Linked DNA regions of Ovis aries. The protein of the gene in region 7 interacts with the protein of the main gene of each other region in a pairwise test. Links are inferred from orthologs where the notes say so. Each region holds a gene or a part of one and is shown on either strand. Other genes may lie near its edges.

Region 1 (4,911 bases), on a different chromosome or scaffold from region 7:
ACAGTAATGCTGATTTTCCTGGAGAGACCAAGGGGAGTGTCAGGGAGAAGGATGAGGGCAGTGCCCAAGCAGAAGCACGGCCCTGGAGGGGGTCGTGACCAGTAACAAAAAAAAGAGGGGAGGGTTTGGTGCCCAGCCAGAAGCAAGCCGACCCGGAGGGAAGGGCGGGCCCCTGGGGCTGGGCCCAAGGGAGGAAGCAGCGGAGGGAAAGGTGATATTGGATGGGGCGGAGCAGCCGGCGGGCCCGAGCCGACGGGATAAGACAGACACGGCCAGCCGGAGTGGAAAGAACAGTTTATGCTGTGATTTATTAAAATGTGCATCATTCTTTTATTTTAAAATGTGCATCATTGTCTCGTGCTCGGCGCGCGCGCGACCTCAGCGTGGTGGCCCGCGGCGGGCCCCGTCCCCGCCCGGCTCCCGCGGAGCCGCCTTGCGCAGGCGCGCTCAGGTGGCGCGGGCCCGGGGGCTCCCGCCCATGGCCAGGTAGACGTCGATGGGCACGTGCAGCAGCGTCAGGCAGTGGCAGCCGGGGCAGCGTCGAAGCGGCCTGCGGAAAGCGGGGCGCGACGGGGGGCGTTGAGGGGGCGGCCGGCCCCATCCTGTAGGGGGCGCATCAGTCCCAGGGGTTCGGCCGCGGGTGCGGGTTGGTCTGGGGACGGAAAGCCGGCAGGGGTGGGGCCGCGGGCAGGGGCGGGGCCGCGGGCAGGGGCGCTGGCCTCACCTGACCGGGTTGTGCTCCGTAGCTACCGGCTCCGGGCTGTCCTGGGACTCGGGGGCGGCGGCAAGGCCAGGGGAGTCTCCGGCCTCAATGGGGAATCTCCGACCCTGCGGGGGCTCCTGGGCACTCATGTCCAGGCCCCGGGGCGCTCTGCGCGGGGAGTGGCGGTCAGGCCGCTCCCGGGCGGCCGGGAGCCCCCTCCCCGCGCCCGCCCCCCGGGCCGTTGCTCACCTGCCGGAGGCCGAGGCCGGTCCCAGGCTGGAAGCAGCTGCCCGAGCCCTGGCCGCGGGAGGACGCTCCGGTCCAGGCGGAGCCGGGCAGGTGTCTGCGGCGCGTCCCGGCCCAGGCGTCGAGGGGACGGGCTGCATTGTGACCCGGGCCGCGGCGCGCTGACCTCACAGAACCCGTTCCTCCAGCCGGGGAACCCCGCGCCGCCCGGGCACTTAGCGCGGTGGCGAGCCGGGAGCTGGAGGGCTCTGGCCATGGGTCGCGCAGACCCCCTGCTGCCCGATGGGGGCGTCCACGGAACAGAGCCTGGCATCCCGGGCCGAGCGCAGACATCGCAGCAACCCCTACAGGCGGGGCTACGACCCACTGCCTGGCGCGGGGGCGGGGCACGGAGGTGACTTAACCCATGCTGGGTTTTGCGGTGGTAGTGGTGGTGGTGGTGAGGGCAGATAGGGGCATTGCCCATTTTGGCCCAGGGTCACACAGCATTTACATCACAATTGGGCCAGAGTTTTAAAATGTCTGACCCTCTCCCTCCCCACCATCCGCGGCTCCTGTGTCCGGACGGAGAATGTTGTAGCGCTGGGGGCGGCTGCGGATGAAGTCCTTGGGGGGAAAAGAAGCGGGCCGAGGGCGATGGTGGAGTAGCGCTGCCTCGCAGAGGCAGCATGAGCTGAGAGGGTGATAGGAAGGAAGGAGGTGCTAGACAGCATGGAGGACTTTCTGCTCTCCAATGGGTACCAGCTGGGCAAGACCATTGGGGAAGGGACCTACTCAAAAGTCAAAGAAGCAGTTTCCAAAAAACACCAAAGAAAAGTGGCAATTAAAATTATAGACAAGATGGGAGGGCCAGAAGGTGAGCTGGGGCCCCTTTGGAGGAAGGGAGGGCTGGCTGAGGTGGGTGGGTGCTTCCTCCAGTCAGAAGGATCAATTCCCTCCTCCCCTTTAGTCTTAAACTAAAGAAAGCAAGAGAGGCTGTGGCTCTGGGGTCAGTCAGTGGGGAACAGAGAAAGTCTAGGAAAATCACACCTTCTGAAAGTCCAAAATGAATGTGGCAGGCAGTGAGTGAAGTCGCTCAGTCGTGTTCGACTCTTTGAGACCCCTTGGCCTGTAGCCTGCCAGGCTCCTCTGTCCATGGGATTTTCCAGGCAATAGTACTGGAGTGGATTGCCATGGCAGGCAGTGAAGGACCCTCAGAAGCAGAGTCAGAGCCTACTACGCCTTTCTTATTCTAGGAGGTCAACTGATTGGTCAGGCCATGGCCAGGGCTAGCAGAGGGCAGGAACCGATGCAAGGGAGAGAGATGGGGAAAAGACAGGGCTCATGGAAAGAACGGCAGCTCAGGGGGCACAGGTGAGAGGGGCTAGCTTACCACGCTGTGGGCAGATCAGGCCTCATAACTGAGTTCAATAGATTTGTCTAAAAGTTCCCACAGGACTTTGCTATCCATGGTCTCACAGGCTGCTCACAACAGTCCCTGAGGCTGACGGACTAGTTCCTTTGAATAATATATTAACTACAAAGACAGAAGTGAACGCTCTGCAGTGTCCAGGCGGTTTGACACTGAAGGCTGTTAAAGGGAACCAAGGCCCACAACCCAGACATGGTGGGCAGACAGAAGTTGGAAGACAGAGAGACAGAGGGAGGAGTTAGGCTCTTCTGGACTTGACTCTCCATCTCTTTTGTTTCCTTAGAGTTTATCCAGAGATTCCTGCCTCGGGAGCTCCAGATTGTCCGTACCCTGGACCACAAGAACATCATCCAAGTGTATGAGATGCTGGAGTCTGCCGACGGGAAAATCTACCTGGTGATGGAGCTGGCTGAAGGAGGGGATGTCTTTGACTGTGTGCTGAATGGGGGGCCACTGCCTGAGAGCCGGGCCAAGGCCCTCTTCCGTCAGATGGTCGAGGCCATCCGCTACTGCCACGGCTGTGGTGTGGCCCACCGGGACCTCAAGTGTGAGAACGCCTTGTTGCAGGGCTTCAGCCTGAAGCTGACAGACTTTGGCTTTGCCAAGGTGTTGCCCAAATCGCGCCGGGAGTTGAGCCAGACCTTCTGCGGCAGCACCGCCTATGCCGCCCCCGAAGTGCTGCAGGGTATCCCGCATGACAGCACGAAGGGTGACATCTGGAGCATGGGCGTGGTCCTGCACGTCATGCTCTGTGCCAGCCTGCCTTTTGACGACACAGACATCCCCAAGATGCTGTGGCAGCAGCAGAAGGGGGTGTCCTTCCCCACTCATCTGGGCATCTCGGCTGAATGCCAGGACTTGCTCAAGCGGCTCCTGGAACCAGACATGACTCTCCGGCCTTCAATTGAAGAAGTTAGTTGGCATCCATGGCTAGCAAGCACTTCATAAAAGCAATGGCAAGTCCTCCCCAATAAAGTAGGGGGAGAAAGCAAACCCAAAAACCCGCTTCTAAGATGGTGATATCTATATTTTACACTTTAAGTCTACTTATCCTAAACTTACCTACACCCTCCCCAGCTTTACTTCTCTTTCCCTTTAAAGATCTTCATGGAACCAGAGGGCCTCATTCAGACTTCCCTTTTATTATGGCTGACAAGTGATTTTCATACAGGTGTTTAACTAAAGTTACTTAAAAATAGACCCCAGAATCATACACATACAGGGGGAGGAGAGAAAAATAACCAAGAACAGTTGGAACCACTGTTGTTGCACCTTCCTTTCCAAATAAAAGCAGAAGCGTTGGGAATGCAGAAACGGCCTCTTGACTCCTTGTCTTGGTGAGAGGCCTTCTGGGGGCCCTGTCCCTTCCTCACCCCAAAGGCCAAGGTGAGTCTGGGATGAAGACAAGGGACCTCCTTGGAACGCAGGCTACTACCTCCCATCCTGACCCCTCCCCCAGGCTCCAAGCAGGAGGGCACCCTGCACACCCTGTCTTGCCCTGGCTCTGGGGCAGCTGCTGTAAGGGACAAGAACAGAGCTCCAGACACCTTCCAGCTTCTGTTGAATCTCTTTAATAGCTGTTAACGGCAAGTCTGGAAAAGGTTCAGGACAAAGTTCTTTTTTCTTTCTTTTTTAATTACAAAACTAACAGCTGTTAGAGTCTTTTTTTTTTTTTTTTCCTTTTTTCTTATCCCAGCTACAAAATACTCTGGGGAGATACATTATAATTTAAAATATATAATATTGCACAAACAACCAAAAGGTTAATTAAACTAAAGAAATAATTACAAAGAGAAAAATCCTATCCCATGAAAAAAAAAAAAAAAAAAGATTCAGCATTCTCTCCATCCCACCCCCTCATTGAAGGTTTGAAGTGGAAGTGACCACCACTCTCTTGGCGTCCCTGACCACGATCCCTTTAAATCATTGGTGAACACACCAGATTATGTACAAGAATCACCGGAGCAGCATCGTGAAGCACCAGGGTCTCCAGGGATTCCTGTAGCCCCTCGTCCCCCCGAGAGAGGTGCAGCTTTACCAGCGTGGAGGGTGAGAGCCACCAAGACTGGATCTGCCTTCAGGAGGAAGAGCTTTTACAGAAGCCTGTCGAGAATCTCAAGCAGCTCACCCCCAGCGTATCCCTCCAAGAGGCAGAAGGGTTGAGGCGGAGAAGTTGGGCTTACCGGAGTTGTAAGTACTCGGCTTTGATCACTGCTCTGTACCGCTGGTAGCTGGCTTGTGTCCTAAGCTACGGGGGAGTCAAAGTGGGTGGCTGGCTGGACAAGGTACCCCGCCAGACAACACATGGAAGGGCCTGAAGTGGCCCCCTCCCTTCTTGGGGAGGGGAAGAAGGGCAAGAGCAGACTCTTGCAGGTGGCACAGCTGGGCTAAGGACTCGGGTGCATCCGACATGAAGACGGCTTGGGAAAGGTGCTGGGAACATACCAGCCTGGACTGGGGGAAAGGAGCGAGTTTGGTCTCTAGATTCTGAACCACAAGGAGCCCTTCCTGGAATGGAAAATGCCTGGGAGGGACAGATTCCTAAGGGAGG
Region 2 (4,220 bases), on a different chromosome or scaffold from region 7:
CCCAGCCAGACCCAAGCAAGAGCCCCAATTTCCCCAAAGGTTTTCCATCACCCAACACCCCGGAATCATGCTGAATTAGAGGGGACCCTGGAGGGTGGGGCCAGGAGCCTGTACTTGCACGTGATTGAAGGGATGCCCCAGGCTCAGGGATGTGGGCTGGGTGGGGACCCAGGCCCAGGGAGAGGCAGGGGGCCAGGCAGAGTAGACGGCAGGTCGGGGGATGGGGGTGGGAAACGAGATGGGTTTGTTCTGGGCGCACTGTGTGGAGACACCTCAGAGGCCTGGGGATGGCAACTGGGGCCAAGACAGAGCCTCGCACCCAGCCTGGCCCTACCCCCGGGCCCAGCCCTGACATACAGGGCTGTGGGCGTCTGTGCAGCTCTGCTTCTTCCAAACTGGTAGTCTGGGGGTGTCTCTGTGCTGAGTGGGGGCGCTGTCCTATCTGTCCCACACCACCCCAGCCCTGAGGCTGCCAGTGGGCCCTTCCATAGGCACTGGGGACAGACCCCCATGAAGCTCTGGGGTGGCGGGCCCCTGGCCGCCTGGGCCTGGCACCTAACGGGCAGTGCCCCACATCCTTCCCCTGCACTCTCAGACGAGACAGGCTCACCGGGATGGCTCCCCTGGGCCCCACTTCTCTGTCCTGTTGCCTGCTCCTGACTGTGAGGTGACACAGGCTGGCTCCCACCCTGCGAGCCCTGAGCCTCAGCCCCCATGTCCAGAGGACTCTCAGAGCTCCGGGCAGGGTGGGGGCCCTGGGGGAGTGACTGTACCACCAACTCCCCCGGGTCAACCACAGCCGCATCCACTCATGGGGAGCAGGTTCCTGCCCCAACCCCAGGCTAGCCTTGAAGTTCAGACTCCGTGACCTCAAGCTCCCTGTGGAGCTGGGGCCTTGCTAGAGACCCCTGCCCACACCAGGCTGGCATTGCGAGGACCAGAAAACCCTGCTGCACCTGCTTGGGGTGGGGAGGGGCCTAGCTCAAGAGGCTTGCCCAGGTGCTGCACCTGGCTGGGGGCGGGGAGGGGCCTACCTCAGGAGGCTTGCCCAGGTGTTGGGACAGGACGACGAGGTTGATCAGCGTCTCAGGGTGGCTGCTGTCCTGGCAACAAAGGAGACGGGCAGGGTCAGCTTCTCCAGGCCATTGGATTGGCCCACTCACCCCCAACTCAGACAGGGCTGGGGCTACGAGATGCAGTGTGCCCCGTGACTGGATGCTTGGCCAGGTGGTGAGCTTGGAGCCTTCCCTTCTGCTTCCCCACACCAGCTGCTTTCCCCAGGGGCTTGGTGCTTCCTGAACCAAGGCCTGAACACGGAGACTCCGCTTGCTGCAGTTTCCAAGGGGCCTATTTATCACAAATCTTAAGGTGACAGAGTCTAGGCCAAGGGAGCCTCAACGTATCGCAGCCCAGCGAGCTGGTCCTCCCGCTGCAGCCGTGAGGCCTGAGACCGTGGGGTAGGGCCCGCCCACTCCCCAGGGGACCTGACAGGAAACTGCAGGAAATTACCAGAACCTCCAAGCAGCTGACCTCCCCTCACCCGCCCACACTGGGCGCTGAAGCCCGGGGAATCCTGGGAACGGGCTTGGCTGCTGCCTTGGCCGGGAACCCCAGCCCGAAGGCCCTGATGGGGGGGGCGAGGCAGGGACATGCTGCCCGGGATGTCGCAAGCGCAAGGGGCCGTGGGGACCCTGCCCGCTGGCTGGCACAGGGCACAGCTCCACACGCGCAGCCTGATGACCCCACCACCGCCCTGTGGCCTGTCTCTGCATGGCCAATGGCCTGCCGTGACAGCCTGGCCCCTCACAGAGGGGAAGAGGGAGGGGCTGCCCACTGGCATCAGTTTCTCATTGTATCAAACCCGCCTCAGCTTTCGGTCAGAAGGCAGGCCACTAAGGCGGCCCCCAGCCCCCGCGGGCGGCACGCTCGGGGCCTCCGCTCAGCGAGCACGGGCACAGGCGACACTGTGTGTGTGCTGTGCTCGCTCCTCAGCAGCCAACGGTGGGGGTCTCTCTCAAGCACAGATCCAGGCCAGGGGTCATCACCCTGAAAGGGCCCAGGCCAGGCAGCGGCGGCATCAGTGAGAAGACGAGGCATGTGTCTGCTTAGCTCAGGCCTGGGCTGACGGGATCCTCCCATTTTCAAGAGAAGTCAGAATGAGGACTGCGGTTCACAATCCCGACTTTTAGCTGAGTCAGCCTGAGAATCCCCACCTGGCCAGCAGGCCGGTGTGGGGCCCCTGCCGCACCTGTTTCTGGGGTGGGGCTGGGCCTGCCCCTACCTTGTCCAGCGCCTCCTGCAGCACGCCCTCAGCGGCCTCCCAGCGGCCCTGCGCCATGTGGCAGGCTGCCTGCCCGTTGAGCAGCAGCAGGGTCGGCGAACACTTGTCAGCCATCTCCTGGAAGATGTAGTAGGCGTCCTGGAGCTTCTCACCTCCCTGCCGGGACAGTTGGGACATCACCGCCTTGTCACCCTGCTGCCCTGCCCCAGCCTGCTCCCTCCTGGATGGATCTCAGGGCAGGCACCCTGGGGACGCCGCCCCCTTCCACACAGAGGCCCTTGAGCAGCCTGTGCTGTGAAGGGGCCGAGGCAGTGTCCAGACCCCTCAAACTCGGCTCCCTCAAGCCCTCAGTTTATGGTCTTGAAAGGCTCAGCTTTGAGGAAGAGGAATCAATGCACTGGCAGCTGGGCCAAGGTCTGGGCTGGGACACACGGCCCACCAGCCTCTGTTCCATGGTCGGTCCTGAGCCCGCCCGCCCACATTCTGAATAGCAGGTTCTGTCTGCCTGGGAGAAACACAGTGTCACACTGGCAGGGGAGCCTGACACGGAGATGCACTTGTGAACAATTGCAAGGCTACAGACAGGACTGTTGGGGTGTGTCCCCTGCACTGAATGGATCCTACAGGGTGAGGCCTCAGCCGTGCAAAACGACGTGCAGATGCACGCAGACAAGGAGCACGTTTTAAAAAGCTTGGACAAGAGCGTGAACTCAGAGAAAGGAAGTTAAAAGCCCAAGACAGAAATGGGGCTGCTGCCAGGAGAGGGGAGCCCAGGCATGTGGGGGTAGCGGGGCTAGGCTCGAGGAGGGAGTACGCGAGGGAGGACTCAGGCCCCAGCTTTGTGCCAGGAGCCTGGAGAGCAAGCTGAGCAGCAGCCGAGCCTGGGGCCAGGCCCCAGAGGAGTCTGTGCTGCCAGGCTGGCTCCCCGCACTCGGGTGGGAGTGGGAGAGCGTGCAGGAACAGGCACGCTGAGTCTAGTTCCGAGCCTCCCAGTCGGTTCACCCTGGCTCTGGCCAAGCTACTGGGCTATAGGAAGCCAGAAGGGGTCAAGGCTGAGTGATGGGGAAAATGTCCTGGGCTCTTCCGGGAGACTGGCCCCCAAGAAAGCACGAGGCCCGGGGTGTCCGTGAAGCCCAGCTGCTCCTGCCCCCGTGCTCCCACCCAGGCTGGGCAGGGGCTCACCGCAGCCAGGCTGGCCCAGGCGGTGGCCAGCTGGGTGAGCGTAGCGTCCTCGTCCTGGTCCTGCATCTTCTTCAGCTCCTTCCTGGGGGCGGAGGAGAGGTGCCCAGTGGCTGCGGGGCCCGGCCGCTGTCCCCCACCCCTGCCCGAGCTCCTTGCTCACAAGGCCTTGGCAGCCCCTGTGGCCGCACACGCCTGAAGCCCACCCCCACCCTGCAGGCCGGGCCCCGCTGCCAGCCTCACGGAAGGAAGCTGAGGCACCGGCAGCAACGCCCCTCGCCCCAGGCAGCACCGTGCAGGGCCGGGCAGGCAACCAGTGGTGCCGCCACCCCCGTGGACCAGAACGCACTACATGGAGAAACACTCGCGTTGCTGATGATCTGAGCCAGGGGGCGTGCTCGGGGGGGTCCCCACTGAAGACAGAGGCCCGGTTTCTGGAGAATTCAGGGTCCCAGCACAGCCCGGCCTTTGCTAAGATAGCACCCCCCCCGCCCCCCCGGGCACAGGCCGTCGCCCAGCAGCCCTGGCGGGGCGGGCTTACCGGGCGAGGTCCAGGCGGTCAAGCTTCAGCAGGATCTGCACTGTCATCGCCATGCTGCGGGAAAGGCGTGTGGCCTGTGAACCCTCGCCCCACTGTACCCTCCCACTGGGAGCTCACTCTGTAAGCACCACCTTCCCGAAACTTCCTGTTAGCACTCGGGCCACCAGTCCCACTTTGCAGAGGGGAAAACTGAGGCTGACCATCAGCCCGGTAGAATCA
Region 3 (3,441 bases), on a different chromosome or scaffold from region 7:
ATCCCTGCTCAGCCCACTCGCATCACAGGGCAAGTGATGAGGGTGGTGGGGGCCTGGGTGAGATGAACTTTAGAGTCTAGCCAGAGAGACGCTCAGTCCACGTGGGAAGGTGACCCACCCAGGGGTCCAGGAAGGATGGAAGGATGGTTTCATGCATGAAGTTTTCCTGGGAATCTGGGTAGGAGGAAGGAAGGACAATTTAGCTGTGGATGCAAGTGGACTGTTAGAAGCTGGAAATGTCCTAGGACAGGTGCTTGATTTTTAAAAGGCGTCCGCCAGGGAACATTGGGAGATCAACACAGGAAGGCAGCTGGTGTAAGGCTGGGGAGGACCAGGCTAAAGGGGCCTGCTCTGCTGTCCTCAGGGTACCTCCAGGGGTCTCTGCAAGCTTTTGATGCTTGAGACTAGAGGCAAAACCAGCTCTAGGAGGTCTTTTTTTTTTTTTCAAGGCTGCTTCCCTTCCCCTTCTTCCAGGAAGCTTTCTTGGGTTCACCCTCCAGATTCCCCTCTCCTGATACCATGTGACTAAAAGCTGAGGTCCAAGCGCTCTCAATAAGTTTCCACCCTGTCTTCCCTCCTACAATGCGTGTCCCAGCACTATCCCTGGACCCTAGCTCAGGGCTGTGCCTCTCTCATCCTTTCTGCATGGGAGAAGATGCCATCAGGTGAGGAGAGAATAGGGGACGACAGTTTGGGGGCTGTGCGGGAGTGGGGGCCTCTCATCTCATCCTGACAGGGGAAGTCCTTCTCTGGGTCTGGCCTCCAACACACCCCTCCCGAGCTCTGGAATGACAAGGAAGCTTCTAGATTCCCACTCTGCTCTAATATCACGTTTCTGTCATTTCTCCTTTTCAGTTCTCCTTTGGGGTCACCCTCGGTGTCCCCTCTGCCCTGGGTGGTGGGATGGACAAGGGGTCCACAGGTAATGAAACAATAAATGGGCTCAAGAATTACAAACCCTCCTTTATTGAGAGGGAGACTGAGAAACAATAATTTATCATGTAGCGAACCCCCAGAGGTCCTGTCCCCATGAGCCCTTGGGGACCGGGGAACAGGACAGGGGGCTCCCTGAGCTTCCTGAGGGCCGTGTGGTGGGCAGCGAGGCGACACATTCAGTCCCAGGCACACAGACCCCATATACCCAGGAGGCGAGGAGTCCACACCCACCCCGCCCCAGGAGGCAGGGCGCGGGAAGGCACGATGGCACGGAAGGCTGGGCAGAGTGGCTGAGTGTCAGGGGTCGACAAAGGACACCATGATGTAGCGGGTGCCCCGAGTGGTGGGCAGCCCCTCATGGTAGTGGGTGAGACGGCCCGGGTGCAGGAGCCCCCAGCCCTTCCTGGGGGACGAGATCACACAGTCGTAGCGCAGGAAGCGGCATCCACCTCCCTGGAGAGACGAGAGGGGAAGGGGCTGGAGAGTGCGCAGACGTGGGGACTGGGTGGTGAGCTGCCCCGAGGCGAGAGAGGCCAAACTGGGCATCAGGGAGGGAGGGGACAAGAGGGGTGAGCATCGGCAGATGGGGGACACAGGACACAGGGGGTAGCCAGCCCAGAAGGGGTCCAGAATATGACCCCAGAGGTCACTGGGAGATGTGACGAGGGCAGACAAGGGGCAGGGAGGTGACCGTGCCTGTGAGGGGGCTGGACACAGGGCCTGGGGGAGGGGAGTGCGTGTGTGTCTGTGTGTGTGGAGGGGCCCGGGGGAACCCTGAGTGGAGGGTAGGGACTCACCTCATAATCCAGGCCCTTGTGGTTGAGGGCGACATTGAGGGTGAAGGTGGATGAGTCGTGATGCGGCCGCAGAGAGGGCTGCTCATCCGGTCGGTAGCGGACCACGAAGTTCATCACCGCCCGGGTCTGCGGGCACAGGGGAGGAGAGGCTGGGGGGATGGCCGGGAGGGTTCTCACTGCTCCCTGGGGGCTGCTCCCCCAGAGCTTCCCTCCTGCAAGGTCTCACTCTGTGTGTTTGACTCTTTGCGACCCCATGGACTGCAGCCTGCCAGGCTCCTCTGTCCATGGGATTCTCCAGACAAGAACACTGGAGTGGGCTGCCGTGCTCGCCTCCAGGGGATCTTCCCGACCCAGGGATCCACCCGACCCAGGGATCCACCCAGGTCTCCTGCATCACAAGCGGCTTCTTTACCATCTGAGCCACCAGGGGAGCCCGGATCTCACTCTATGGGGCCTATTTAAATGTTTCACAGGCCAAAAGGCATTGTGTGGAGCCGTCCAGCCAGCACAGGTGTGGGAAGGCGGAGGAGGGAGCAGGGGTGGCGTGCAGTGGCCCACCTTGGTGTGGTAGCCGGGGAACAGGCTCTCGGTCATGGGTCCCACATACGTCCTCAGGAGCTGTAGCCACTGGTCCTCGTAGCCCACCTGTTTCATGTGGATGTCCACAGTGGGCACGTTCTCGTAGCCTCCCGCCAGCCTAGAGTCCTGTGGGTACAGAGCTGACGCAGTGGTGCCAACTTCTCCTCCTCTTGCTCCCAGGCCTTGGAAGTCTGCGCTCCCTCCTTCTGGAAGTCTCCGCCACGTCTTAGCTGACTCACACCTCCTTCCTCTAAGTCTCAGCGAAGATGTCACCTCTTCTGTGAAGCCCTCGGTCCCCCCGCATCTGGGTCAAGTTTCCCACCTGTGACTCCCGCAGCACTGAGGCTGTCCATCACAGACTTCAGAAGCTAGCTCCCTGCTGCTACTGACGGCAGGTGGGGCTGTGGAGGGCAGAGCTCCACCTGCACGTCCAGGTCAGGGGCTGGTGTCTAAGGACCTGCCCAGGGAGTATTTCTTGAATGCACGGTGGAATGAAAGAATACAGAGGTGCCCCCTGTCTGCCTTTTCCTGCTCGGGGACCCCCTCTCTGTTCCCACTCTCCAGATTCCATTTTCCCTCAATCAGGGAAATGCCCCCTCCCTCCTCCTGGGGGCCCCCTCCTCCGCGGTCCAGGCCCCTCACCTCATGCCGGCCTCCTGACCACTGGCCGTAGTGTTCCATTTCCTCCACCAGCTCATCGCACATTTGCTCAGACAGGAGAGGAAACCAGTACACGTCTGGGCAGGGCTGAGTCAGGACGGGGCAGGGGAAGAAGAAAACAGGGCTGGGTGATGCTCCAGAAGGGGACAGGCAGCCAGTGGGAGGAGACAGAAAGCAGGGAGCAGAAAGGTAAGCCAGGACAGGAGAGAACGTGGAGGGACGGGCAGCTGAGCGTGGGGATGGGCTGGTCGGGGGAGTCAGGAAGGGGACCGATGCGGCCAGAGAAGGTGAGAGCAGTGCTCAGAACTCGGCACAGACAGCACGGTTGCTGGAGCCCTGGGTTCTGGGACAGTGGTTTTCAACCTCGTTTTAAAAAATGTCATTTCACCCATACACCAACACACCCAACGGACAAGGGAGGACCACTGGGATGAATGTTGGGCTGGGGGCTGCATGCCTATCAACTCAG
Region 4 (4,885 bases), on a different chromosome or scaffold from region 7:
TTTTAGCTGTGTGATTTTGGGCAAATAGCTTTCCCTCTCTGGGCCATTGTTTCTAACCTTTGAAAAAAGGACAGCTTTAACAATCTATGCTGTGTGCTGTGTTTAGTTGCATAGTAGTGTCTGACTCTTTTTGACCCAGTGAACTGTAGCCCACCAGGTTCCTCTGTCTGTGGGGATTCTCCAGGCAAGAATACTGGAGCGGGTTGCCGTAACCTCCTACAGGGGATCTTGCCCACCCAGGGATCCAACCCAGGTCTCCCACATTGTAGGTGGATTCTTTACTGCCTGGGCCACCAGGGAAGCCCCTAACAATTTAGTACCCTACAATCAAATCTATCAATACTTTCAACAGAGAGCTTTAAACTGGTTGCCACCAAGTTTCAAGGAAAGATAACCCATTATACAAAAACCAGATCATTTTCCTTCTCCTGTGGGCAAAACTGCAGACCTTGCTTGGGTTGCAGTGATATGGTAACTGCCTCGTGAAAAACATCCATCCTGGCGTTTTCTCTTTAAAAAATGCCAAATGTAGGCCTTAGCCAGTTGTGCAGTAGTAAATAAACTGTGGAGAGGAACCTGTGGGCTTCCTCCCTCGAGATGGGGGACTGAGTTTTAAACTAGAAAAGCAGCAGTAATTTGGCACCAAGCAAAATTGTCTTACACTCTTCAGGGAGTCATGTCAGGTAGGTAGTGTGTGCGTAGAATGTTAGTTGCTCAGTGTCTGACTTTGCGACCCCATGGGCTATAGCCAATCAGGCTCCTTTGTCCATGGAATTCTCCAGGCAAGAATACTGGAGTGGGTTGCCATGCCCTTCTCCAGGGGAGCTCTTCCCGACTCAGGGATGGAACCCAGGTCTACCGCATTGCAGGCAGATTTCTTTACCATCTGAGCCACATTTCGTTCCTAAAGTTGACCTGCTCTAGACTTAGGGAGTCACAAAGTCGTCCCACTGACTGTGCGCTTCCCTGAGACCTCGGCCTCTACGTGTCCATCTGTAAGTTGGGCATGAAAGTAAAGTCGCTCAGTCGTGTCCGACTCTTTGCGACCCCGTGGACTGTAGCCCACCAGGCTGCTCTGTCCATGGGATTCTGCAGGCAAGAATATTGGAGTGGGTTGCCATTTCCTTCTCCAGGGGATCTTCCCGACCCAGGGATCGAAACCCAGGTCTCCTGCATTGCAGGCGGACGCTTTAACCTCTGAGCCACCAGGGAAGTTGGGCATAAACCAGTAAAAATGCAGATGAGCACCGGACCGGTGGTAAACTACACTGGGAAGATCCCAGGGGACAGGAACGGGGGGGCGGGTCCCAACTTAGGTGGGTGTTTATGTCAGGAGAGGGATGGTGATTTGGGCCTCAGCCCAGCGAGGCCGGCTGCCGGGCGGAGAAGTGCCAGCGAAGAAGGGGTTAGGGGAGAATCTATGACTAGGGGTGGGGGTGAGGGCCCCGCGGAGCAATCAGGTGGGGGATGGAGCCTCGGGCTCCTCCGTGCTTTGTTCAGTTACAAGCCAGGCCCCTCTTTCCGGAGAAGCCAATTAGATCCCCGCCGGGGGATCATCTGACCTCGCGCCTCCCGCCGGGAGGGGCTTCGACAGGGGCGGGGCCGGCGGTCGCCTCCTCCGGGACCCGGCCGCGGGCCGTGCGGGGGAGTCCCGGGCGCCGCCGCGCAGCCCGTCCCCGCCCCGCGCCCGCCGCGCCCCGCCCTCGGGGCTTCCCGGGCGCGCGCCGCCCCGCCGTGTCCGCGCGCCACGCCCCCCTGCTCGCGGGCCGCGTGCGGAGCCGCGCGCCCCGGAGGCTCGGGGACCGTGGCGGCGGGCGGCGGCAGAGCAGCCGTCCGCGGGCCATGTCTTCCCCGGCCGTAGCGAGGAGCTCCCCGGGAGGGAGCCAGGAGGTGGACTCGCGGCCGCAGAGGCAGGGCCGGTTTTGGGAAGTGGGCGGCGGCGGCGGCGGCGACCGGCTGGAGCGCGCCGCCGCGGAGTCGGAGCGCTGGGAGCTGCTGCTCCGCCGGGGCGAGCTGCTGGCGCTGGGCGGCCACCTGAAGGGCGCGCTGGAGGCGTACGCGGCGGCGCTGCGCCGCGGGGCCCCGGTCAGGCCCGAGTGCCTCGGCACCCTGGTTGACTGCCTGGTGTTCAACTACCGGCTCCGCCACGGTTTGGGCTGGAGCGCGAGTCCGGCGGGGGGCGCCCACCGCGGCGTTAGCGCCGGCGGGCTGCTTAGCTGCCTGGGCTGCCGGGGCTTCCTCAGCGAGCCGGTGACCGTGCCCTGTGGCCACAGCTACTGCCGCCGCTGCCTGCGGAGAGAGCTCCGCGCGCGCTGCCGCCTCTGCCGGGACCGGCTGCCGCCCGCCGCGGCTGCCGATGCCCCGGGGACCTCCCCGCGGCCGCCTCCGGCCGCCGCCGCCACCGCCACCGCCACCGCCACCGCCTCCTCCGGCTTCAGGACCAGCGTCGTTCTCAACCACCTGGCCGAAAAGTGGTTCCCGGGCCAGCGGGAGCGAGCCCGGGCGGCCGGCCGGCTCGGGGAGCTGCTGCACCAGGGGCGCTACCGGGAGGCCCTGGCCGCCGCCTGCGAGGAGCTGCGAGCAGGTGAGCGCGCGGGCCCCGCGACCGCACCCTTCCTTCCCAACGCGCGGGGCGGCCCCAAGCTCGTCTGCGCCCCAGGCCAGCTGCCTCCCAGGGCTTGCGTCTTGGGGTCCCGGGTTGTGTGTGTTTTGGGGGGTGTGTGTGGGAAGGGGCGGCGCCCCGAGGTGCTTCGGTCACAATGGGGATCGCCCTCGAGCCGACTGTGACGCGGCGCGGGGTTTCCTACGCCTCGGCCTGGCGCTGTGGCGGGCGCGCCCCGAGTGGAGCGGCGCGGAGCGGGTGGCCGGGCGAGGCCGCGCGAGCGCGGGATGGGGAGGGTGTTGGGCGAGCCTGAGCGTCGGCTCGCTTCCTGCCGCGCTCTTTCCGGTAATTGGCCGCCCGGGCCGGGTCCGCCGCGGGGAGACTCCTTGCCGGGGCGGGGAAGTGGATCCCCAGCCGAGGATGGGCGTGCAACGTATATACCTTGGTCTCCCGCAAAAGTCACCGGGGCAATTGGAAGCCGCGGGAGGCAGAATTGCATAAGCCGGGGTGGGTGGGGGTGGTGGAGGGCGTTGTGTAACGGGTGACGTCGGGTGGGCGTGGCGGGAGCTGGGCGCCCGCACCCCGCACCCGGAGGCCCGGTCGGAGCTGCCCAGGGTTGTCCCAGTCTTGAATGAGAACGCCCAGAGACTTGCTGCCTCTTGATGGTGTCCACCTGTCTGTTTCACAGCGTGCTTATTTCAGAAACGCTTGTGCTTCCTTTCGAATGCACGTAGCTCACGGTGAAGATAATAGAGGTAGTCTCTGATGGAGTTCGTGGCCACGCTTGTGTTTGCCTTTCCACACTCTTGATCAAGCTCTGGCGGCGAAGGGCCTCTGAAGATCTTTGGTCTGTTCTTTCGCCGCCAAGAAGCAGTTTCAGCCTGCTAACCTAGGCTAGCCACTCTTCTTAAGGTGGTTTGGGGCTGTGGAAAGAGACCTTGGCGGAGGTAGTTAGCTGTGTAAAATGAAGCGTTGTAAAATTGGTGGTTTTCTACCATGGGTATTCCCTCCACCCCCACTCTTGGGACGTTATCAGGGGCAGTATCTAGAGACGTTTTTGGTGGCCACCCCTTGTGCGAGTGGAGTGGTGCTGGTACAAAGAGTGGGCAGAGGCCACGGAGGCTCTTTCCGTATCCAGTGATGCGCGGGACGGTTTCCCACACAATGATCAAGGCCTGAAGTGTCAGTTTTGTCCTTGTTAACCCTTGTGTGAAGTAAGCATATTTCAAGGTGGAATAGAATAATACTTGGAGAATTAACCACCAAGGAAGTAGAATTAATCACCAAGAAGATAAACTGATGTGAGGTTTGAGGTGCATTTATAAACTGTAACTGAAAGCATCTTGGGAGCTTTTTTTTTTAACCCTAAGCGCTCAGTCATTTTGAAGTAGTCATCATGTTAAGTCGTTGAATACCTTTAGAATTCAAACCGCAAACTTGGCATGCTTTCATATACTTTCAGTATCTTTACGGGCAGTAGCAGTTATAGAAGTAGCATGATAGACCCAGAACAAAACAGAACTATTTGGAAGACAAAATTCCTCAGCAGCTCATTCTCTCTGGGTGAATCGAGTTTGGATGGTCAACGAAGGACAGACCATCTAGGACACGTTCCTCAAAATGAGGAAGCAGAAGCTGGGGCAGTGACCCGACTGGTCCACAGTCACACATCCAGCTGATGTGTGGAGGCAACAGTGTGTCCTGAATTTCTCCTAAATGTTGGATCAGGATTCATCCTACCGTTAGGGCTCATCCGATGAAAATGTGTAGCATCAATTCCCAAGGAAGTTTTTTGCCACTAGTGTGAAATAAAGGAGAAACTTACTGACAGCCCTATTCATTATTAACTCCTACTGATTTAAATGGTTTGACCTCTTAAATTAGGCTTTTTGAAAAAACTCAGGTCCTAATCCACAGAAGAACAGGGAGTATTTACTAATTAAGATCTAGCTTTGCGTTCTATGACCGATAATGTTTTTAATTAAAGAAGATTTGGGCCTGGGATTGAGGATATTATTTTTTAACAGGAAAAGATTGAAATATCTACTCTTTCTCCTTTTTTTTCAATTTGCATAGACTACATGTGGGAATTTTGTCCATTCAGCTGCTTCATTCTACTTTTGCAGGACTAGAACCCAAGACTCCTTTGACTTCGTCCATCTTCTCCTCAGTTTTAGGTCTTTGAAAAATCTGTAATTCCATACTCCGAAATGTGTCTGATTGGTACTAATGAGGATAACTTTTTTCATCCTTTGAATCTTTAGTACAAAGTAGGAAGAAAAA
Region 5 (4,220 bases), on a different chromosome or scaffold from region 7:
TTTGAATGTCGACTTTTAAGCCAGGTTTTTCACTCTCATAGGCATTTTCCCTAATAAATCTGGACTTTGAATTCACTTAAGTGTCTGCTTCTCAGAAAACCCAACTGATATAACTACCCCTAGAAAACTGTTCTAAAAATTTAAAACAATAGCATAGTTCCTGTCTTTTGGTAGCTTCTCAGTTAAAGGTTTGCTTCCTCCACGTGGGATGTATTACAGGGACTGAGTAATACACTTCTATATCTGCTCAGTACTTTAAGCATGGATTCCATGTGTGAGAGAACTTCAGTAGTCAGCAATGTGAAGTTGGACTTCTTTATATAGCATTCCAGACTCTGACCTATCAAAATCATCTGCAGGCAGGTAACCATGTTTGGGTGTGTGAACAGGTGGGTTGGATTGTGACGGAAGGAAACTGGCTTGGGTGCCAGGAAGATCTAAATCTAACCTTAATTTGCTGTGTACCTTAGGGAAATCACTTAACCTGTCTGTCTTCAGTTGACTCAACTATATGATGGGGATGATACTGCTTAATTTACTAATTGTGAGGGTTAGAGATAATCTAGGTAAGGCATCTAGCACAGTGTCTGGCCCATTGTAAGCGTCCAATGTGCTGCCTGTATATCCTGATTCTTACCCTGTAGTCTTATTGCCTCTACATCATTTCATTCATTCAATATTTATTGTGGGTCTACTATGATAGGAACTTGAGACATAACAGTGAAACTGACAGGCACAGATCCTCACAGAGTCTGACAGGTCGGCACATCACAGTACAAAGTACATCCAGAAATTATAACAGAAACATTTAGATGCTGCTTATTACGTGCAAGGTACTGTTCTAAGAGCTTTACTATACATTCACTCACTGAGCCTTTATATCAATCCAACCAGATATCTGCTCAAGATGAGATAACTAGGGATGTGATAGACTTGGGTAGATTTGAACCCAGGCAGTCAGCTTCAGAGTCTATATTTTTAACAGCTACACTGTTGCTTCTCTAAACATCTGAATTAGATTTTATGACTCCACAGATCATGAACAATCCTTACATAAGTATATAACAAAACCTAGTGAATTAAATCAGTAGACAAACACTTATTTCCTTTAGAGAAACATAGGCACAGAAATAGTAAGTCAGCTGAGCAGGTGTAGACACTGGTGACCCACATGGCACAGTTACCATCCCCCAACCTCCCACTTCCTCACTGTTTGCTCGGCTTTGAACTCAGCAGCTGTTCTCTGGCAGTGGCATTAGAAGAAAAATTGTTATAATACAGTTTTTCACCTTACTTAGCCTTGACCTTTTCATCTGCAGTAACCACAGGGCTCTTCTAGTTCTAATAAATTCTCAGTTTTCGGTGTCATAATCTTTTATGCCTATCAGAACTTTCTAGCAGAAAAGTTAAAGTCAAATCGGTGTGTTTTATTTGTTGTTTTCTTTTCATAAAAGCATCCACATGACTGCATTAAGTAGTTTGCTGAGTGTCTGCAAGGCAATCAAGGTGGCAGTAAGGACATTGGACCCCAGACACTTAAGTTCATTTCTTATTACGTGGCAGACATAACCGAGCTTTGCATGTCTGGGTAGCCAAAGTGACAACAGTTTGTTCCAAGAAATCCTTTAGGTTTATGACAACATACCATTATCATGACCATTCTAGAATAAAAATGACAATGCCAATATGATAAAAACCCACCAGCCTCTTCTAACTAGTCAAGAATGATTAAGACCAAAAAAGATGATTGTACTTACAGGGGGGCACTGTGCAAGTTTATCAGCTGCTACCAGTTGAACATTTAAGTGTTTACTTTGAGACTTTCCTCTAGATTTAATCAACCGCTGTAAAACCTGATAGAAGAAGACATGAATCTGAGATACTATCAGTAAGTTGAAAGAAAACCAAGTAAATCAAGACATCTTTTTCAGAGTCTGTTTAACCCTGAGTATTTAATAGGGAGGAAACACAAAATGACAAGTTTTGTATACATGTAAACTCTGTAATGACATCATTCAATTACATTGGCTTTCAGTTATAGTGGATTTGATATGTCCATCCTATTCTTGCTACATGTGAGGTCTTGGTGGGTTCCTAAGTACCCTTCCTAGATTTTATCCAGAGATTTCAAAATGAGCCCTGCAAAAATGGAGGCACTGATCTGTACCAGATCATTTATGTCCAAATTCAGTTGAGTAGCATTTTGGTTCACTATCTTGATGTCTGATCAATATCAGAGTCACTTATATATTTGACTCTCTTTATGTCATTGATAATTATTAAGGCATCCAGTCTAATCTGACATTAACAGGACAATTTCATCTTCGAAATCTAGGCAAAACATTTGCACTGGTATATTGCTACATATAAACCAGTGATATACCTATGTCTTTTGGGACACTGCTGTAATTGCATTTTTCTATCTACTCCTCTTTCCCTTAATTATTTTTTAGCAGAAATAGGATGCTTCCTCAGAAACAGTACTAATCTATGAGGCTCTATGATACCACAGCACATATATCCACGAGGGGACCAGTTCCTGCACTAGTGGACTCCCTGGCAATTGGGGCCAGAAGGTTGAACTCTATTCCGCTGCAGTAAAGGGTGTTTGAATCCCCTTCAGTTCTGGATCAGCAACTCTAAGTGGTCAAAGTCATTTCACTCCATTCTAATGATTGCCCAAAGGTCCTGGCTTGGTCGGGACTCCAGGCTCACCCTGCACAGAACCAGTGCCTGGAGAGATGGAAGTCAGAAGGGTTGGGAAGGGCACATGCTTTCCCTGGGAGAGGAGACTACTGGTCTGGTTCGAAGTCGAATACGCATTTAAGTAAGAAAATGAACTCTTGGAGCCACTGGAAAGAAACTGATTGTTAAGGTAGTACCTCCCAAGGGTATCCAATTCATATTCACTTTTTAGAACATCAAGTTTTTAAAATTTAAAAAATCCAAGTCAAAATGGACCAATTTAAAAATAAATAAATAAATGGGTATATAAAAGTTTGTAAGGGAAAAAAGGGACCGATTTGAGGCTGTCTCACTTTTATTTTTATCTCCCCTATTGGCATAAAGATACATGGCAGATACTCCATTGTGCTTCATCACAGAATAATGATTTTCCTTGAAGGATTCTCCAGGCCAGAATACTGGAGTGGCTAGCCTTTCCCTTCTCCAGGCTAACGTTTCCCTTCTCCAGGGGATCTTCCCAACTCAGGGATCAAACCCAGGTCTCCTGCATTGTAGGCAGACTCTTTACCACCTGAGCCACAGAGGAAGCCCAAGAACACTGGAGTGGGTAGCCTATCCCTTCTCCAGCAGATCTTCCCGACAACCAAACCGGGGTCTCCTGCATTGCAGGTGGATTCTTTACCAGCTGAGCTATCAGGGAAGCCCTGAAGAACCCAACCTAAGCATAAATGCACAGATCTATAAAGTTTCCACCAGAGATGTTATACAGTGATGTTTGGCTTTAGATTTATGGTAAATATATGTGTACTTCTTGAACTATTTTCTCTCTCAGCTGAGGAGATAATATAGGTGATATAAGAATCAATTTTACCTAAGAGATTTACCAAGATAGCACCTAAAATCTCTGAAAAGCCAGACTTAACTTTTTGTCATCTTTCCTGTTTTTTGATTTTTTTTTTTTTTTGCTTTTTATTATATTCTTGCATAACTGCCTGGTTTGGGAACCACACAGACAGTGAGTTTCTTGAAGGAATAAATTATTCTTTATTTGCTATCTCAAAACTTCAAGAACCTGTACAGACCAGGTGAATCAAAAACAGTATTCATTAAAAGGGTCTTAAAAAGACATTTTCCTTGCCACAAACAAAAATGCACAGAGCGAAGAGTGTTTCAAAAGAAACTGACCTTCTAAATCTTAAGACAGAAATGAGCTAATTACCTTTGGAGATGAGACTTTTACATGAACAATAATTGGTGCTAAGGAGGTCTTTATAAGTTGTGCTGGGTGATTGATGGTGTCTGCATCAAGAACAACCAGTTGCAAAGATCTTGCCAACTCAAAGATTCTTTCAATTTCACTTTGCACTTCCGCTAAAAGGAGAAATAACAAATAACAGGTCACGGTATTTTTTATTAATTAGTTCCTATATTTAAAAAATAGTACCTGTTTCAGATATGTTAGCCTACATTGCAAAACAGAATATTTTGAATTTTCATAGTTCTGTCTAACTTAAGATCTTTTCCAAAGAGAGATG
Region 6 (3,106 bases), about 13 Mb from region 7:
GCACTGGCTGTTCAACTATTACAACTCTTGAATAGTTCGGTGAAGAACTGCTGCTACCGGGGCCCAAGATACCCCTCTGCCGAGGCCCCACGAATTAATGCGGGTCAGGCAGAGCCCAGGGACCACAGGCCAAGGCTGCAGCTACTTCTTTCGTGGTCCCTGTCATTAGCTACCATGACTAGCTGCTCCTTGGCCTGGACACCTTTGCCATCTGCCTCAAGAGACCCCTACCCATCAGTAAAAACACCCCCCATACCTGCCGGAGACAGGGGGCGCCGTGAAACTCCTCGAGTGTGGGAGCGGCGCCTGGCTGGGGGCCCCGTACAGTGCCTGGCCCACCTCATAGCAGCGGGCATGAAGGAAGGGCGGGTGCTGCGGGCCCATGTGAGGGAGCCCAGGCCGGCGCTGGGGCCCCGAGGCCAGTCCCGAGTTCCGGATGTACCAGTCCCGCAGCCCCTCCAGGGCAAGGTTCTTGTGGCCGCTGCGCTCACCGGCCGAGGGGATACGGGCGGGTGGGGGCATCCACAGTAGAGGGTTGGGATGCGCCTCCAGGCCCTCAGCGGCCTCCAGGGGCAGACCACAGGGCTTGGTGCGGGGGGCACGGCTATGGGGGTCCTTGCTGCGGAGGAGGGGGCTGCTGCCATCAGCTGCATACACAGGCGGTGGGCCTGGGAGCATGGCGACGAGCCCATCGCGGCGGGAGAGGGGTCCTGGAACCTCAGCTGCCGGCAACAGCTCCCCCCAGCCTGTCCCGCTGCCCCCACGGGGCAGGCCCCGGTCCAGGGAATAGTCCAAGAGGAAGTCCCCACACACGGGTGGGAGCCGGGGGGGCCCGCGGGAGGCCGGCGCGGCTGAGCTGGGCCGGGCAGCCCGGGGAGGGTCTGGGAGGCCAGCCGTGCGGGAGGAAAAGGCAGGGGTTGGCTGGGGGCGCTCATATAGCACCTCACTGCTCTTGCAGACTGGGGGACCGGTGGCAGGGGGAACCAGAGGTGCGGGCGGGGACCCAGCTCCCCCACCCGCTGCCCGGTCCACCAACAGGGCCTCGGAGCTATTGCTGCGGCGGGTGCGAGCTGCGAAGAGGGAGGTGCGGTCGGAGACAGGGTCCACCCGCGGGAAGCCCATCTGGGAGTCCTGGCTGCTGGACCACTGGCGAGAATGGAGGCCTTCGGGTCTAGGGGCACAGAGGTGGGGGTGATGGGAGAAGGGTCAGAAATATCAGGCAGATGGGATAAGCTCGCTCCGCAACCCCTCCCCCAACACACGCCTCTCTCTGGGCCTTCATTTTCACACTCCAAAATGGGCCCCGGACTAGAAATGGGGTGTAAAGGCGTTAGGGAGTGGCACATTAAGAGCAGCAGAGGCCCTAGCCAGGACTGGGGAGCAGAGGGGTTGAAAATGTATGGGGTGCCTGGGGCTGTTAAGCTCCGAGGGAGATGGAAGCAAGGGACTCCAGAGGAAATGCTAGCAGGGGAGGTCACTATTCATAGAATGCAAGCGTCACAAGGATGGGGACTTTTGTTCACAGCCTGGAAAAAGTAGGCACTTGGTAAGTACGTATTTGTTTAAGGACTAGGAGACTACCATGGTTAAAAGCATGGACTCTTGAGTCAAATTTGTCTGGGTTCAAATACCAGGTCTTTGGTTTACCAACAAGTTAGTTAACCTGTGTCTCGGGTTTCTTATCTCTAAAATGAGAATAACGGCATCTACCTCATAGGGATGTTGTGATAACTAAATGAGTTTGATACCAAGTACTGATTCCTAGCAGATGGTAGGTATGCAGCACATGTTAACCAGAACTCATTTATGCCTACAGCCTCTTCCAGAGACAGATATTGATATGCCTGTTTTACAAATGAGGAGACCAAGATTCAGAGAAGGGAAATGACTTGCCCAAAATGCACAGAAAAGCCCATACTCAAACTTCAATGCTTCTGCCCCAAATCCCCACCCTCTTTCTCCAAGGCGGGGGTTGGCTGGGGGTGCTCATATAGCACCAAGACAACTCCTATTCAACTTTCAAGGCTCAGCCTTTCTTTTCTTTTTTTGGTCAATTAAAAAATTTATTTATAATGTGATATTACACATACATTATGTATGGCATATTTCAAAATATATTTTACCTATATTTCTTTATCATGTAATAGGATGCATTATGAACAAAAGTTCTAAAGCATAAATAAAATTCTTGCTTCTTCATACAACTTACACAGAAAATCAGAATAAAACTGATGGATTCAAAGCTCAGTCTTTCATGTCCTACACTCTTGGAATCCAAATACTCTCCCCAGTACCCCCTGTTAGAACTACCAGTTCCCTCCTCTGGTCCTCAAACTCACCCTTAGAGTCCACTTACTTGCAGAGCTGGGGGCCAGCGCCCCGGGTGAGGACGGGAGTAGCAGGCACACTTCGCCCCTCAAAACTGGAGGCACTCCTGGGCAGTGAGCGTGTAGGGCTAGACAGAGACATGCGGGCCCAGGGTGGGGGCGGGGGCCAGGTTAGAGACCGTACCTCCCAGCAGGTCCTCCTGCCCACCCAGGCTCAGCCCCCACTCCTGGCTGTGCGGAAGGAGTGGAGGGGCTCACCCTCACCTGGTGGGGCTGGCCACAGAGTTTCGCCGGCCCTTCAGATCCCCATAAAGATCTGATGGGGGTGGTTTCCATGGGGTTCGCCGCTCAGGGCTGCCCCCAGAGACTGCCCGCAGCTGGTCCCAGGCCTTGGGCGGTGAGGGGCGCTCAGCCAGAGGGAAGCAGCCACGGGGCTCCTCTGAGCAGAAGGGAGAAAATGGTGAAGGGGGGATTCAATGGGAGGGTTGTGGACAAAGCCAAGGGCAGGGGCTAGGGAGGTGCAGAGGGCTAAGCAGGGTAGGACAGGTAGAGGAGGAACCAAGGGAGGCAGGCAGGAACTGGGGCTGATGGGAGAGACAGGGGAGAGGGTGGTGAAGTGAAGAAGGTGGGAGCTCCACCAGAGGATGGGGTGTGGCTGAAGAGGGAGGGCAGGGGCGATGCAGAGCACGGGAGAATTTAGGGGACAAGGGTTCTCACCATTATCGTGGCTGGCCCCAGACTCTGAGAGGGAGCTGCTCTCTGAGTGCAGAACCACATCC
Region 7 (4,220 bases):
ATAAGATGCAGTCCTTGCCCTCAGAAAAGAGACTTGTAACAGCAACTTATGATATGGGTGATAAGTGTTATGAAAGGTCTGTCATATTTAATATAGCATTTAAAAGGGAAAAGGGAAATTTTCCCTTGAAGGGAGTTAGGGGGCTGCTGGGGAACTGGGAGAGTGACTTGGCAAGGAGACGATGTGAGGTTGGAGGAAAAATAAGGAATGGGCTTGAGAAAGTGGGCAGTGAAGTGGGGAGGTTGCTTCAGGCACTGGCAAAGCACAAACTCTTGCCTCCTGGCGCAGCAAGGCCCAGGCGCAGTGCTTCTAGCTGACATGGTTGCTGTGATTATTGTCCAACTTGTGAGCAGAGAACAGCCATTTAATGCAGATGGTTTGAGCAATGTGTTTATGACATTTGTTTTGGGTACGTTTTCCCAATGTGTTACCCTGGACGTTTTCCCCTGTGTTAACCTGGACAAATGGGTGTGTGTGTGTGTGTGTGTGTGTGTGTGTGTGTGAACCCAGACTATTAATGGCCCAGAAAGCCAGACTGAACAGTCTAGGTGGTATGATCACAAGCAGGGAAAATGCTAAATGTTTTCTGAGTGCTGGGTCTATTGTGATAAAAAGAGTGTTTAGAACTCTTTGAAAGAGAACTTTGAAAGAATAAGAGATATTTTAATAAACTGGGAATATGTCTCTGCATATAGATTTAGAGCCCTAATAAGAAAATGGTTGAACTTTTTTTTCCAACCTCTGAGAGTTTATGCCCCTGTCTTAAAACCATAGTGCACTTGGATGGGAGGTGGGTAAAAGGGGTCAAGAGTATACACTTTCAGTTATAAAATAAATAAGTCACAGGAATGTGATATATAGCATGGTGACTGTAGTTAATAATACTATAGTACATATTTCAAAGTTGTTGAGAGAATAGATCTTAAAAGCTATCATCACAAGAAAAAAATTTTTGTAGCTAAGTGTGGTGATGAGTGTAAACCAGACTTAACTGTGTTGGTCATCTTGCAATATATACAAATATCAGATCGTTGTGTCATACACCTGAAACTAATATTATATATCAATAAAAATGGCATATATTTTGCAGGATTTTTTACATATGTAATATGCAAAAGATTACTTATATAATGCTATAACCTTCAATTTTTCTTCCATTTAGCTATGGCAACATAAGCAATATACTCCGATTTTTTGCAAAACTAATCACACACAAATGTGCTGATGCGGAAAGGATGTTTGTTATTTCATATTTTCTCCGTGATGACACAATTTCAGTGTTTGAACCCGTAGAGAGGAATTCAGGTAAGAGACATACTACCCATAGCAATTTCCTCAGAACAGTGAACTGTCTCTTCATGTTGAAAGTTATATAATATAATCTCATTTTTGTAGCCTATGATCTAAAAGAGTGGCTTTCTTTCTTTTTCTTTAACCACTAAAAGTTCATTTTACAAAGACCTCTTAAATGGGAACCCAGACATATAAAATGGTAAAAGAGGAGTAGTTTTGGTTGGCTGAGGACTGGGGGATTCAGGACACCTCCTTTTTGACACTGTCCCCACTTCCTCTGTGGTCTCTGAGGCACCTCTGTGGAATCCAGTGGCTTCAAAATCATGGTCTGGCTGCCACAAATTCTGTGTACAGCTAGCAAGACAAGAATAAAATCTGTATTTGTGATAATATCACTTACAAAATAAGACAAGAATCCCCGATTAACAAATTTAATCTTCAGAGTCTATTTCCCTCTGGCTGTTGAGGCTGGTGCCAAGGTTCCAGCACCAAGGCCCATGGGATGGCCTTGCTGCAGTGCACTGATAGGGTGGCCATTGCTGAGGAAAGCTATTGATTTTGACTTAGCAAATTATGGAACTGTAGGGCTCTATCCTTTGTCTCAACATGTTTAAAATTTTTATCAATGCTGAAGATACACTTTTGGGAAGAATAGTCAGTGGTGTACTGGTTAACCGGCTCTCTGAAAAAAATTTAAAAGCTCTATTTTGTACCGTTTGTCAATTTCCATGATGTAAATACCCAAACCATGGCTAATTTCAAGCAACCAACAGTCTAACAACTGGCTTTCCAAATCTCTGAACATTAAACTATCAGCCCTTATGAGCTGGTAGGAGCCGCTCAGTACACAATGAATCACGAATAATTTGTATAAGTAAGTCAGGCTCCACTTATACAGATATGAATAATGGACCTTAAAATATGAAGTCAAATAGGGATGCCTATAAAGTCATGCTCCTGAAAGTCAAAAAATCACCTCTGTACATCTAGAGTAGGGATGATATGGCTAAACAAATTGCAGCATTCATAAAACAGGGTGATAGCAGTCAACTAGAAGCTTGCTGGTAATAACAACAGCCCTGGCTGAGTACCTCCTGTTATCCTTATAAGACTTTTATGAGGTTAAGTCTTGTGTTAATCTAGGTCCTTAAGAGGCAAAGCCCAGGATGAGGTACAAGAGATTTATTAGGGAGATGGCGGGTGAGGGAAGACATGGCAGGAGCCAGAAGAGGCCAGGAGCACTGTCAGACTGCAGTGTGTGTGTGACTCCTGTGAAGGACAGAGGAAAGAGGAAAAGGGAAGGTCTTAGACCACAGTGAAAGTCTTAAAATTTTGGCAAGGCTGACTGGGCGTTCTGGAGCCAGAGTCACCAGTGCGAGGAGCTCCCATCTTGCCTGCCTTAGTCTGCCTACCTTGCTCAGTCATGCGTTGGCAGCAGCCTGTGGGAAGCATGACCTTGGCACAAATCTGAGGATAGATTGCAGAACATAGCAGTTGGAGCCTTCTGTCAACTATGTTCCCCACAGCCAGCAATCTGAGAAGTACATTTTCATAGCCCCCCACAAATATTATTCCCATTTACCAGCAAGAATTTGGAGGGGCTCAGAGAGATTAAATGACTCCTAAAGATCATCCAGCAAGCAAGCGACAGAACCAGGATGGACTCCAGCTCTCTTTGGCTACAAAGCCTATGTCTTTCCACCACCTCTGGTTTCTGAATGTGGTAAAAGCGTCAGGAAGCTGCTCCCCAGAGCTCACCTGGTCCCAGGATATATCCACAGGGTTGGAGATTTCAGTTTGGTATCAGTTAGAAGATAGTGGAGTCCCACATTCAGCTCTGGTCACTGCTTGCCAAAACCCAAACAATGCCAAGAAAAGGGCAGAGGAAATGATGAGAATTCTGAGAAGTAAAAAAAAAAAAAAAAAAAAAAAGAATGGAGCATTATTTAAATATTTTGCCTGTAGAAACAAAGAGTTAAAGGAACTCCTATAGTTATCTTCAATTAAGTAACACCTTTCCAGAAATGGGGCATCTTTACGTTTCATCTGTATGTCAGAAGATGTGTATAAGACATCATCTGGGACAAATAGGTGGAAATAAACTCAGGTGAGAAATTTTTTACCTGATACAGTTCAGGCAGGCTGAGAAGATGTTCCTGTTGTCTCAGTTTCCAGGATGCTTCTGGACATAGACCAAGTCCTCGCTAAATGTTTAAGTGTTTGGATTGGGAAGGGAGAAGATGGAGAAAGAAAAGGCTGGAATGCCATGCCACTTTTCTTCCTTACACACTCACCTAGAAGTCTCATTTCTCATCCACTGCCTCATTCTTCTTCCCTTAAAGACTGACTATACATAGTATGAGTTCACAAGTTCACAGCTGTGGTCTGTGTCTGAGCATGAAGTATCTCTAAAGGCAAGTTGTCTGGTTCTTTGAGAAACAAAACCTACTCATTAACTTCTTTTCTCCTTTTCTACAGGGTATACTGGAGGGATGTTCTTAAAAAGAGTTCGTGTTAAGAAGCCTGGACAAGAAGTCTTTAAAAGTGAATTCTCAGAATATATCAAGGCTGAGGAGCTGTATGTTGGAGCCAAAGTGGACGTGAATGGCTACCTCTTTCTTTTGGTCAATGCTGATGAGTATACCTTGAACTACATGGAGAGGCATTCAGATAAGGTGAACTCACTTGGTATAATTCTTGCCTTCGCCTCTCAGCACTCTGCAGTCTGTGTTTTCCTTACTCCAGGCCTTTTCTTCTTTGCCTTGCAACCAATTTTACATTGTGTATTCACACATGTGGGCATGAATAATGGATCTGCATGATTTGGCCGCAGGTCCCATCACAGAGGCCAGGGCCTGGTCTCCTCTGTTTATGTGCTGGGTTTGCTGCTGCCCAGCATCACGGATGCCAGGCACAGGCAGGAGGCA

What was found.
Region 1: the proteins of EFHC2 (region 7) and TSSK3 interact in binary tests that used the Homo sapiens proteins (3 or more experiments, as listed by UniProt). The two-hybrid records come from large-scale screens. The link is inferred for Ovis aries from reciprocal best matches to the Homo sapiens genes EFHC2 and TSSK3.
Region 2: the proteins of EFHC2 (region 7) and COPE interact in binary tests that used the Homo sapiens proteins (3 or more experiments, as listed by UniProt). The two-hybrid records come from large-scale screens. The link is inferred for Ovis aries from reciprocal best matches to the Homo sapiens genes EFHC2 and COPE.
Region 3: the proteins of EFHC2 (region 7) and PLOD3 interact in binary tests that used the Homo sapiens proteins (3 or more experiments, as listed by UniProt). The link is inferred for Ovis aries from reciprocal best matches to the Homo sapiens genes EFHC2 and PLOD3.
Region 4: the proteins of EFHC2 (region 7) and LONRF1 interact in binary tests that used the Homo sapiens proteins (3 or more experiments, as listed by UniProt). The two-hybrid records come from large-scale screens. The link is inferred for Ovis aries from reciprocal best matches to the Homo sapiens genes EFHC2 and LONRF1.
Region 5: the proteins of EFHC2 (region 7) and CACNB4 interact in binary tests that used the Homo sapiens proteins (3 or more experiments, as listed by UniProt). The two-hybrid records come from large-scale screens. The link is inferred for Ovis aries from reciprocal best matches to the Homo sapiens genes EFHC2 and CACNB4.
Region 6: the proteins of EFHC2 (region 7) and CCDC120 interact in binary tests that used the Homo sapiens proteins (3 or more experiments, as listed by UniProt). The link is inferred for Ovis aries from reciprocal best matches to the Homo sapiens genes EFHC2 and CCDC120.

What each region holds. Positions count from the first base shown.
Region 1 is NC_056055.1:235,203,476-235,208,386, reverse strand, and holds TSSK3 (testis-specific serine/threonine-protein kinase 3), read left to right. Parts: upstream 1-1,563; 5' UTR 1,564-1,660; coding exon 1,661-1,805; intron 1,806-2,643; coding exon 2,644-3,308; 3' UTR 3,309-4,220; downstream 4,221-4,911. Other genes in the region: protein FAM229A, read right to left, coding at 448-550, 725-871, 953-1,089. UniProt on the Homo sapiens protein: Serine/threonine protein kinase required for spermatid development and male fertility.
Region 2 is NC_056058.1:4,123,744-4,127,963, reverse strand, and holds part of COPE (coatomer subunit epsilon), read right to left. Parts: intron 4,056-4,220; coding exon 4,002-4,055; intron 3,546-4,001; coding exon 3,464-3,545; intron 2,438-3,463; coding exon 2,282-2,437; intron 1,104-2,281; coding exon 1,035-1,103; intron 1-1,034. UniProt on the Homo sapiens protein: The coatomer is a cytosolic protein complex that binds to dilysine motifs and reversibly associates with Golgi non-clathrin-coated vesicles, which further mediate biosynthetic protein transport from the ER, via the Golgi up to the trans Golgi network.
Region 3 is NC_056077.1:35,922,107-35,925,547, reverse strand, and holds the end of PLOD3 (multifunctional procollagen lysine hydroxylase and glycosyltransferase LH3), read right to left. Parts: intron 3,060-3,441; coding exon 2,955-3,059; intron 2,439-2,954; coding exon 2,292-2,438; intron 1,860-2,291; coding exon 1,734-1,859; intron 1,390-1,733; coding exon 1,234-1,389; 3' UTR 944-1,233; downstream 1-943. UniProt on the Homo sapiens protein: Multifunctional enzyme that catalyzes a series of essential post-translational modifications on Lys residues in procollagen. Plays a redundant role in catalyzing the formation of hydroxylysine residues in -Xaa-Lys-Gly- sequences in collagens.
Region 4 is NC_056079.1:23,391,335-23,396,219, forward strand, and holds the start of LONRF1 (LON peptidase N-terminal domain and RING finger protein 1), read left to right. Parts: upstream 1-1,789; 5' UTR 1,790-1,842; coding exon 1,843-2,584; intron 2,585-4,885.
Region 5 is NC_056055.1:157,736,621-157,740,840, reverse strand, and holds part of CACNB4 (voltage-dependent L-type calcium channel subunit beta-4), read right to left. Parts: intron 4,057-4,220; coding exon 3,905-4,056; intron 1,854-3,904; coding exon 1,758-1,853; intron 1-1,757. UniProt on the Homo sapiens protein: The beta subunit of voltage-dependent calcium channels contributes to the function of the calcium channel by increasing peak calcium current, shifting the voltage dependencies of activation and inactivation, modulating G protein inhibition and controlling the alpha-1 subunit membrane targeting.
Region 6 is NC_056080.1:56,040,333-56,043,438, forward strand, and holds part of CCDC120 (coiled-coil domain-containing protein 120), read right to left. Parts: coding exon 3,045-3,106; intron 2,767-3,044; coding exon 2,592-2,766; intron 2,456-2,591; coding exon 2,357-2,455; intron 1,172-2,356; coding exon 257-1,171; coding exon of another isoform or gene 235-256; exon of another isoform or gene 1-234. UniProt on the Homo sapiens protein: Centriolar protein required for centriole subdistal appendage assembly and microtubule anchoring in interphase cells. Together with CCDC68, cooperate with subdistal appendage components ODF2, NIN and CEP170 for hierarchical subdistal appendage assembly.
Region 7 is NC_056080.1:43,390,190-43,394,409, reverse strand, and holds part of EFHC2 (EF-hand domain-containing family member C2), read left to right. Parts: intron 1-1,162; coding exon 1,163-1,305; intron 1,306-3,771; coding exon 3,772-3,968; intron 3,969-4,220. UniProt on the Homo sapiens protein: Microtubule inner protein (MIP) part of the dynein-decorated doublet microtubules (DMTs) in cilia axoneme, which is required for motile cilia beating.